Neurospora crassa OR74A: one gene and its partner. The protein of the gene in region 1 interacts with the protein of each later gene in a biochemical or structural test. Links are inferred from orthologs where the notes say so. Each region holds a gene or a part of one and is shown in the gene's direction. Other genes may lie near its edges.

Region 1 (4,369 bases):
GCTCGTGTACGGTGGATCTGATACCTCAAAGCACCGTGTTGAAAAGATTGCCCCATGCTCAGATCCGTGTCGCCGGTTGGGGAGCATCACCGGAGTTAGGGGGACTCGGTATGTATCCAGGTCCTGACAATGTTTGTGCATCCCAAAACCCGGAACCGCGCAAAAACCACAACCCTCCAACCGCTTTCCTCGACAGCAGACGTCTGGCTGGAATGCTCCTTTTCGCAACTAAGCCTACCACAAAAGGGCCTTTTTGAGTGATTTGCTGGATCCAAAAATCGTGCATGCAAAAATCTTTGCAGCTTTCTGTGTCAAAAAGCATAGAAAGGAACGAGAAGTCGAACGAAAGATCGGAACCTACCGGTAGAGGCACTTCTATGCACTAACAATTTACGAGTTTTGACCAGGTTTTTTTGGGTCTATTTCTGCCCAAATGGGAAAAAAAGTGCCAAAAATGTAACAGAATATTTACCACCTAGTTGAGAGCCCTCGGCCGACATCTCTTGCGGCTTTTCTTATGATCAATGCCTGTGGTGGAACTCAAAGATGTAAAGAAAGATGCAGCGTAAACAAAGTATGAAACAGTTTCCAACAATTTGGGAAAGACAGGTCGGGCAATTGGCAAAATAACGACACGCCTGCCATGGCAGACATGCCGCAATTGTGTGCCCTGGCTGGCTTCCAAGGCATATCCCTGTTCACCCACGACTTAAGAGACATTTTGCCCACCTCAACGGTTTATGACATGGAACGCAAATGTCTCAATCAATATGCGCTGCCGGTTTGCGATTGCAGATGTACATACCAGCATCCTCTTGTTGTCGCAAAAAACGAAGAACCAAACTCGACTGCTCTCGGGTTTTGTGAGGACTCACCACAAGAGCCATGCTCTTGGGACTTCCTGGAAGCCTTCCATCATATACTCGTCAGACATCAATCCTCGACTGTGTGCGCAGAGGTATGCTGACCCAAGCAGTCTTCAGGCAGGCTGAATCCATTCCAAAGTCGACAAGTTACTCCATTCATGCACTACCGTACACGTTCTAGAGCCGACAACACATGGCTAGCTTCGAGCCGAGACGACACTTCAAGAATACATCCAAATGAAAAGGGAAGGGACAAGATCAGGTACCTATGGAATTACCCAGTTTATCCAGCCTGTTAGGTGAGTTAATCCCGTTTGTCGAGATGGAAGAATCAATGTATGGGAAATAACACCGAAGTCAATACATACTTCGAGGTACAGTTCAGACTTTCAGCTTGAGACTGTGCTTGCTGGTACTGCCGTGGAGTGTGTCCCACTCAGATCCCGGTCGGTGGTTGTTTCTTGGAGCCTCCTGTTTGGCTGTCTCGATACAAGAACCATTTTCTAAGTCTGCAGCCTCCACGGGGTTGACAGTGCGCAAAATGCCGGCCCATTTCACACCTTTCTGACGGGTATCCATCCCATCCATCATCCACTTTTCCCTCCCACCAACCGAGTTTTGTGCGGTTTCTTTCCTAGCCCCAAAGATAGCGTTCCGAGCTGCCAAAACTGAAGCCCCTTCGATTCTCGCCTTGTCGGAATTCTTTTTGGGACTCTCTTGCGGTCCCGTCAAGTTCTCTTTTCCTTGTCGCGCGCTTACTTTCACCCCCCCAAACCGAGAAGGAAAGGGAAAAAAAAAACAGACCCCTTGGCCTTTGTTTAGTAATACCTCTAACCGGCGAACAGGGGGTCGGGTATCTTCAACCCGGCGCTCAGTCCTCGGTCGTGGCCCTCTTCTGGCTGCCCTGATTGGCACCTGGCAACTAGCCACTCAGTGCTTACTCACTGGGCCTTGGACGGGGAGCGGGCCCCATCATTTTTATTTCCCTTGCGCCATCTCTTTTCCCACGTCATACCTGACGTCTGTCCCAAGTCCTGACCTTCGACTTTTCTCCTTCCACACACACACACATACGAAACACCTTGTTGCGAGGAACTACGTAAGGTATTTACGATCCCCGATACTAGCAACGCAGCCGCGAGGCGGACAGGACGCTGCATTACGAACATAGCGTGCAGCCCTCTACCTACACTTTCTCTCTTGCGCCTTTGTGACCTCATAGTCGTCCGCAACTTTCCCTTCCCACCCCGTCGTGTCCCTCTGGCCTCTGGTCGCTCGCATCCGCACCCGCACCCGTTGCAGCACGAAGGCGCCGCAAGTTTTGGATTGACATCATGGGGTCGTCTACTGGAGCCGCTGGCCGAGGTGAGTCCAAATCACCCAAGCAATCCAACAAGACATCCCCACCGCGACAAGGTGAGTAGAGTCGCTTCTTCCCTGTCACGACCGTCATCATCTATTCCCGTCGTCGAGCACCCTGTCGTCCCGTCTGCTATCGCGTTACGTCCCTGCAGAGGGAGGATAGAGAGATAGAGAAAGAGTCAACGGCTCGTACCGTATATCAAGAGAGACATCGTTGCCAACTCAATTTTTGCACATCTAGATGGCCACCCCGAATCGAAGCATGAACCTCCCCTGAAGCCATCCGAGTCGACGACCAATGCCGAACCAGCCAAACCACTCGCGCCTCCGCCCCGTCCCGCTGCGCAACAACAGTCCACGAACAGCCCTTCCGACTACTTCTCGCAGAACCCCATCAGCGGCTCCCTGAGCCTGGAGCCGAACCCATTTGAGCAATCCTTCGGTGGTGCCCCCGAAACGCCCGGCGGTACTAAACTCCCGCCCGTCGCCGCCCTAGCGTCCCCATCATCCATCTTGCCTCCTGGCTCAACACCTTTCCCCTGGGGCGGTAGCAACTCGTTGCGATCCGGCCCATTGAGTCCGGCAATGCTGTCGGGCCCAACGACCTCTGATTATTTTGGCGACCACATTCGCGGAGGTTTCCCAACGCCAAACGAATCGTCGCTCAGAACAGGATTGACGCCTGGTGGTAGCGGGTCTATGTTCCCTGCCCCGAGTCCTAACTCGACTCTCTTTGCACAACTTGCCGGCCCTGCTGCCACGCCTGGAACCATCGACTTTCACCGAACCGCCATCAGTGCCGCTGCCGCCAAGGCCCAAGCTCAGGCCCAGGCCCAACAACAAGCAGCACATCAGCATCAACAACAATCGCAACCGCCATCGATTACGTCACAACCCGCCTCCGATCTCCCCAATGGCATTCCGCCTCTGAAGCCTGAGACGAAGCCACCGACTGGACCCTTTGACCCGCATGATAACGACGCGGCAAATGGTCTTTTCATGTTAGCACAGGGACGAAACGCATCTCAGCCACCAAGCCAATCATTTAACGTGGTGTCGGCACCTCCGCCACCTCCATCAAGTCACCCGCACACTGTGCCGGCTCCTCCTGTGCAACCAGTTAACACGTCACCACAAATGAATGGGAACGTATCCATTGCAGGAAGCTCAGCACGTGGTGTCAGTGAAGTTAGCATCGGGTCAGACGACAGTGAACTTGCCAGGCCTAATACCCGTGGCAAAGGGAAGCGTAACTCCACAAGCGCAGCGACGACGGGTTCCCGTCGCAAGGCTGAAGAAACTCCGGCCAAGACTCCAGCCAATAAAAAGACCAAGACAAACGGATCTGTTTCTTCACTCAACGGTATGGACTACTCAGGCTCGGAAGACGAGTCGAAGCCAGGCAAGGATGACGGAACGGGCTCAAAGTCCAAGATGACGGAAGAAGAAAAGCGCAAGAACTTCCTGGAGCGGAACAGGTATGTGAAACTCGTTATGTTAGCCATTGGAAAACACTTGATACTAACAGTTTGCAGGGTTGCCGCTCTGAAATGTCGGCAGCGTAAGAAACAGTGGCTCGCTAACCTCCAGCAAAAGGTGGAGATGTTCAGTTCAGAGAATGACGCCCTTACTGCAACAATAACACAGCTTCGGGAAGAAGTGGTCAATCTCAAGACACTTTTACTCGCACACAAGGACTGTCCAGTGACGCAACAGCAAGGTCTCCATGGTGCGTTCATGCAGCAAGCCATCGAGCCATTTAGTCACCAGATGAACCCCTACGGTATGGGAGCTGGCATACCTAATCAGCCCGTCGGCATGCCGCCGAATGTTGCTCCTCGCCGATTCTCATAGCGATGGGGTGCGGAGGTTGAGACAATATTGGATGATGAAACAGGCAACGATTCCCGACAAGGAGGGTCGTCTTCTTAACCTACTTGACCTTTCGGATGTCACCCACGTTGACGATAATTACCATCCAACCTCAACTGGGTCCGACCATTCGCGGGCTGTCCTTTCTGTTAATAACATTGGGCGGCGTGCAAAACGGGGGGCGCGACATTCTTACGACGTTCGGATTCTAGAGACTGCACCATAAACAACAAAGGACAGTCATTTCCATTCTCTGCATTGTATGAGTT
Region 2 (4,462 bases), on another chromosome or scaffold:
ATGTGTGTGGGGAGGATGGTCCAAGCTTTGAGTGCGGGCTGTAAAGAACGAGCTGACTAAGGTATGGAAGGTATGGACTTGCCTGGTTGGAAGAACTTTAAGCATCCTGATCCAGATCGCCAGGGTATGACTCCGTTGATATGAAAATCTCCCAAACGGCGAGGCAAGTGTGTAGTGTATGCATTGTGAATCCCTTCGTGTTCCACAACCCGGACCTTTTCCTCCAGACACGTTCACTGACAACCTGTTTATCGCCCTTCTTGTCGATCTGACAGTGACTGCTTTTCTTGAAATCATAGCACTCAAGTTCAAATGGTAGTGTGCTTCGGGACCAGGAAGCCGCGCGTGACTGCGGCTTTATGCTTGGTTCGTCGACAGCGGTCGGAGGGACGGCCGATTCGATTTCTACCTATTTCATTTTTCTATTTTTTTAATCCCAATTTTCTAGCAAGGGAAAGAAAGGGTGTCAACATCAATGGTCGACTCTGCGCTAGGACTAGTCACCGCCAAATGGACTATTGGCTGAATTACTCGATCAAAGTCCGATTGCACCCAAATTCGCGATTTGGAGAGGACCATGGGAAATGGAGGGGCTCAGCAAAACGGCCGATGGCTTGCGATGGCTTGCGAATGCCTGCCAGGCCGAGCGGGAGTGGGTCTTTTGGCATGTGTCGGCGACAAGGGGTCGTGGTTAGCGCTGGTTAACGCTCATGAGCCCCACCCCTCAACTACGTCATAGCCTTCTGGAGGTTGTAAGAGCGGGCATCTCCCTCGTTGTCCCCCTCGCTCCCCTCGTCTGGCCCGTCTGGCCCGTCTGGCACCTAGTCTTGGCACCATGTCTACCTACCTACCTTACTCTACTTGACTACTATGCACTATCAGATGACTGGCGAACGTAGGTAGTTTGTGAAATGGTTGTGATGAGCATTTGACTGAACGAAGGGTTTAGAGTAACACGACAACCTCAAGGACCCAGCGTTATGGGAAACCACCGCGGGCCAAGTTGCGGGGTTAAGGGAAGACACCTGCAAGCAGTTGGAAGGGATGATTGCTTGACTTGCGCATATAAGCTGCACCTAAAAAGACATCAACCTGACATCCATGGCATCCATTGAGGCTATCTTCACCTTTTCAAATGTCCCTGCATTAACAGAGACAGTTAACGGCAGATCAGACACAACAGGAACATCCATTTGGAAATTAGCACCAGTTAGTGGTGGATGGTGGTATATATGTATGTATGCAGAACGCGCGAGACACACCAAGGAGGGGAGGACTCAAAGGGGAGGGAGGGGACAGGTACAGGTACCCAACCAACGACAGAAAAGAGAAAGCGGAAAATGGATGAACCAGAGCATGGAATTTGAACAAGACGGAAATTCAGCATACCTATCCTGTTCTCCAGTCCCGGCGTCGTGTTCCTGGTCTCGAGGACGGTCGCCGATGTACCGCCAGGGTACCTAGGGTGGTGCCAGCTCTCCATGCTGGTCGGTCCTCCATGCTCTGGCCTCTTCCCTATTGGAAGTTGCCGGCCCTCTCCTGGTAGCGCATTAACCGTTTCGAGCTGTTCCTCCTACTTCCTTGCCCGTGAGCCCGGCCTCCCGTTCCATCCTCGCTGCGTCTTCATGCACCCTTGCCTGGCTCATCGGGTGTGCGTGTGTTCAGATTCAGGTTCAGGTCCAAGTGCCAACAGACTTGACCGTGTACACTATTTACTGCTCGTAGCCCCTTCGCTTTTCTTTTTTCCCTTCTTTTATCATCTGCGCTTTCGCTCCTCATCTTCCTCATACGTCCCTTCTCTGCTTTCTCTCCTCTTCAAACCTGTCGTGTTCTGCGCGTTGGTCTTTTCTCAGTCTCGGACCTATACACGCCTCAGCCACCACCCATCGCGATATTGCTCGGTTGATAGGATTCGACTTTGACCTCAGCTCGACTAAACTCGCCAAGTGTGAAGAAACAGTCCATCGTCGGAAAGTGCGGGGCCTTCAGTTTCTTAGTTTAAATCGCCCTTTGGATCGCAAGAGAGATTTAACAACAACAACAACAACAACAACAACAACAACACAACAACACAAAACATTTCCTACCAACCGCCCGACGAAAAAGCAAAATATACACGACACGAGGAAAATCATTCCGGATCGAGTACGACACAGAGTTGCGACGGACACCAGCATTCCCAATCATCGATCCCCTCGCGCACCTCGGCCTGCCAACCACCACTTCCCTTGTCGTGTCGCTGCCCCTCCGAGAGGTATCCGAATTCCCGTCAATTTGGGTAAAAGCCCCAGTTCTGTTAGTGAACTACTGCAGGTAAGCGAGCGGATACCCACCAAAAAAAGGTCCACCGCTACTAAAGGCCAATTCCCTCCTCCGCACTTCCCCGCCCTGGCGACTGCCTGGCGCACACTGTATTGTCCACTGCGAGCCATTGAGCTGCCCAGCTGGAGGTTGCGCTGGAGAGGGATTGGAAGTGGGATGGATTCCTTTTTCTGTCCATTGCGTCCACTTGCATTCGGCTCCCACCCGCTCTCTCTCCCTTTCGCTTTTTCGTTCCAGGCACTTTTGCTCTCGGTGCCCAAGCTGATATTTTCTTCCCAAGACAAACAAAAGTTTTCGGTTCGCCTTCAGGACTTCGTTCTCAGCCTTTGCCCGATCCCCTTATTGTGCGCACTACGCAGGCAACATCCGACCCCAGCCGACGTCGTCCGTCTCCTCAGTCTCCCTTACACAAAAAACACAAAGCGCCCGATCACCGGATCGCCTCACTGCCGCCACTGAATCAAACCTCGCGTTTGACCTGTGTTTGTGACACTCGGCCCATTCAGCTTGCCCCGCGCTCCCACCAGAGACAGGGCTACTTCGTCTTCCAGCAATCCTCACTCCGTCCTTTGTTCTGTAACATCAACACCACACATCACAATGGCCGAATTTATCCGCGCCCAGATCTTCGGAACTACCTTTGAGATCACCTCGAGGTTGGCCTCCCCGCGACGAACCCTTCTGTCATTATGCGCTCTAGTCTGATCCCGCGATAGGTATTCCGATCTCCAGCCTGTTGGCATGGGAGCCTTTGGTCTTGTCTGGTATGTTTTCCGCTTCGCTATCTGGTCACATCCGCCAGACGCACCCAGCTAATAATGATGACCGCTGCGCAGCTCCGCGAAAGACCAGCTCACCAACCAGAATGTCGCCATCAAGAAGATTATGAAGCCCTTCAGCACACCGGTCCTTGCCAAACGCACGTACCGTGAGCTGAAGCTTCTCAAGCACTTGAGGCACGAAAACGTTGGTCTACCAGATTCCATTGCACAAGCAATTGGGAACCACGCGACTAACATGCTTGCGCAACAGGTCATCTCTCTGAGCGATATCTTCATCTCTCCTCTCGAGGATATCTACTTTGTTACCGAGCTTCTCGGAACCGATCTTCACAGACTTCTTACGTCCAGGCCTCTTGAGAAGCAGTTTATCCAGTACTTCCTGTACCAGATTATGGTAAGTCATCCCCTGTCAATGTCGCATGAAAACGACGGTAGCCACTAACTCCAGGATTAGCGCGGTCTCAAATACGTTCACTCCGCCGGTGTTGTCCACCGTGACCTGAAGCCAAGTAACATCCTGGTCAACGAGAATTGCGACTTGAAGATTTGCGATTTCGGCCTTGCGCGTATCCAGGATCCTCAGATGACGGGCTACGTTTCTACTCGTTACTACCGCGCCCCCGAGATCATGCTCACTTGGCAAAAGTACGACGTCGAGGTCGATATCTGGAGTGCCGGCTGCATTTTCGCCGAGATGCTGGAGGGCAAGCCCCTCTTCCCTGGCAAGGACCATGTCAACCAGTTCTCCATCATCACCGAGCTTCTCGGCACTCCCCCAGACGATGTCATCAACACGATTGCTAGCGAGAACGTGTGTACCCCCACTCTGCTGAAGGCTCTGCGACACCGTCACTAACTCTCCGTCAGACCCTGAGATTCGTCAAGTCCCTTCCCAAGCGCGAGCGTCAGCCCCTGAAGAATAAGTTCAAGAACGCCGATTCATCAGGTACGTCTCAGCCGCTGGCCATCGCCGGATACACAAGATGCTGACCTGTCTTAGCCGTCGATCTGCTCGAGCGCATGCTTGTCTTTGACCCTAAGAAGCGGATAACTGCCACCGAGGCCCTTTCACACGAGTACCTTGCTCCTTACCACGACCCCACCGACGAGCCGGTTGCCGAGGAGAAGTTCGATTGGAGTTTCAATGATGCTGATCTCCCGGTCGACACATGGAAGATCATGATGTGAGTTTCACCGCATCAATATGATGAGTTGAGAACCACACACCACTAACTGAATCACAGGTACTCCGAGATCCTGGACTATCACAACGTCGAAGCCTCGGGGCAAATGATGTTCCAGGAAGATGTTCCGCCGCAATAAAACACGGCAACGGCAGGGTCCGAGACATGGCGCCG

Evidence for each region.
Region 2: of the proteins of asl-1 (region 1) and os-2, one has a biochemical effect on the other in vitro, tested with the Schizosaccharomyces pombe proteins (5 studies listed by BioGRID). The link is inferred for Neurospora crassa OR74A from reciprocal best matches to the Schizosaccharomyces pombe genes atf1 and sty1.

What each region holds. Positions count from the first base shown.
Region 1 is NC_026505.1:3,719,077-3,723,445, reverse strand, and holds the start of asl-1 (ascospore lethal-1), read left to right. Parts: upstream 1-1,524; 5' UTR 1,525-1,807; coding exon of another isoform or gene 1,808-1,842; 5' UTR 1,843-2,200; coding exon 2,201-2,282; intron 2,283-2,469; coding exon 2,470-3,706; intron 3,707-3,763; coding exon 3,764-4,082; 3' UTR 4,083-4,369. Other genes in the region: NCU01346 (hypothetical protein), read right to left, coding at 1,248-1,500, 1,808-1,842.
Region 2 is NC_026504.1:4,949,329-4,953,790, reverse strand, and holds the start of os-2 (mitogen-activated protein kinase), read left to right. Parts: upstream 1-1,611; 5' UTR 1,612-2,313; intron 2,314-2,602; 5' UTR 2,603-2,922; coding exon 2,923-2,978; intron 2,979-3,038; coding exon 3,039-3,086; intron 3,087-3,158; coding exon 3,159-3,288; intron 3,289-3,354; coding exon 3,355-3,498; intron 3,499-3,558; coding exon 3,559-3,915; intron 3,916-3,971; coding exon 3,972-4,050; intron 4,051-4,104; coding exon 4,105-4,288; intron 4,289-4,348; coding exon 4,349-4,427; 3' UTR 4,428-4,462. UniProt on the Schizosaccharomyces pombe protein: Proline-directed serine/threonine-protein kinase involved in a signal transduction pathway that is activated by changes in the osmolarity of the extracellular environment. Controls osmotic regulation of transcription of target genes.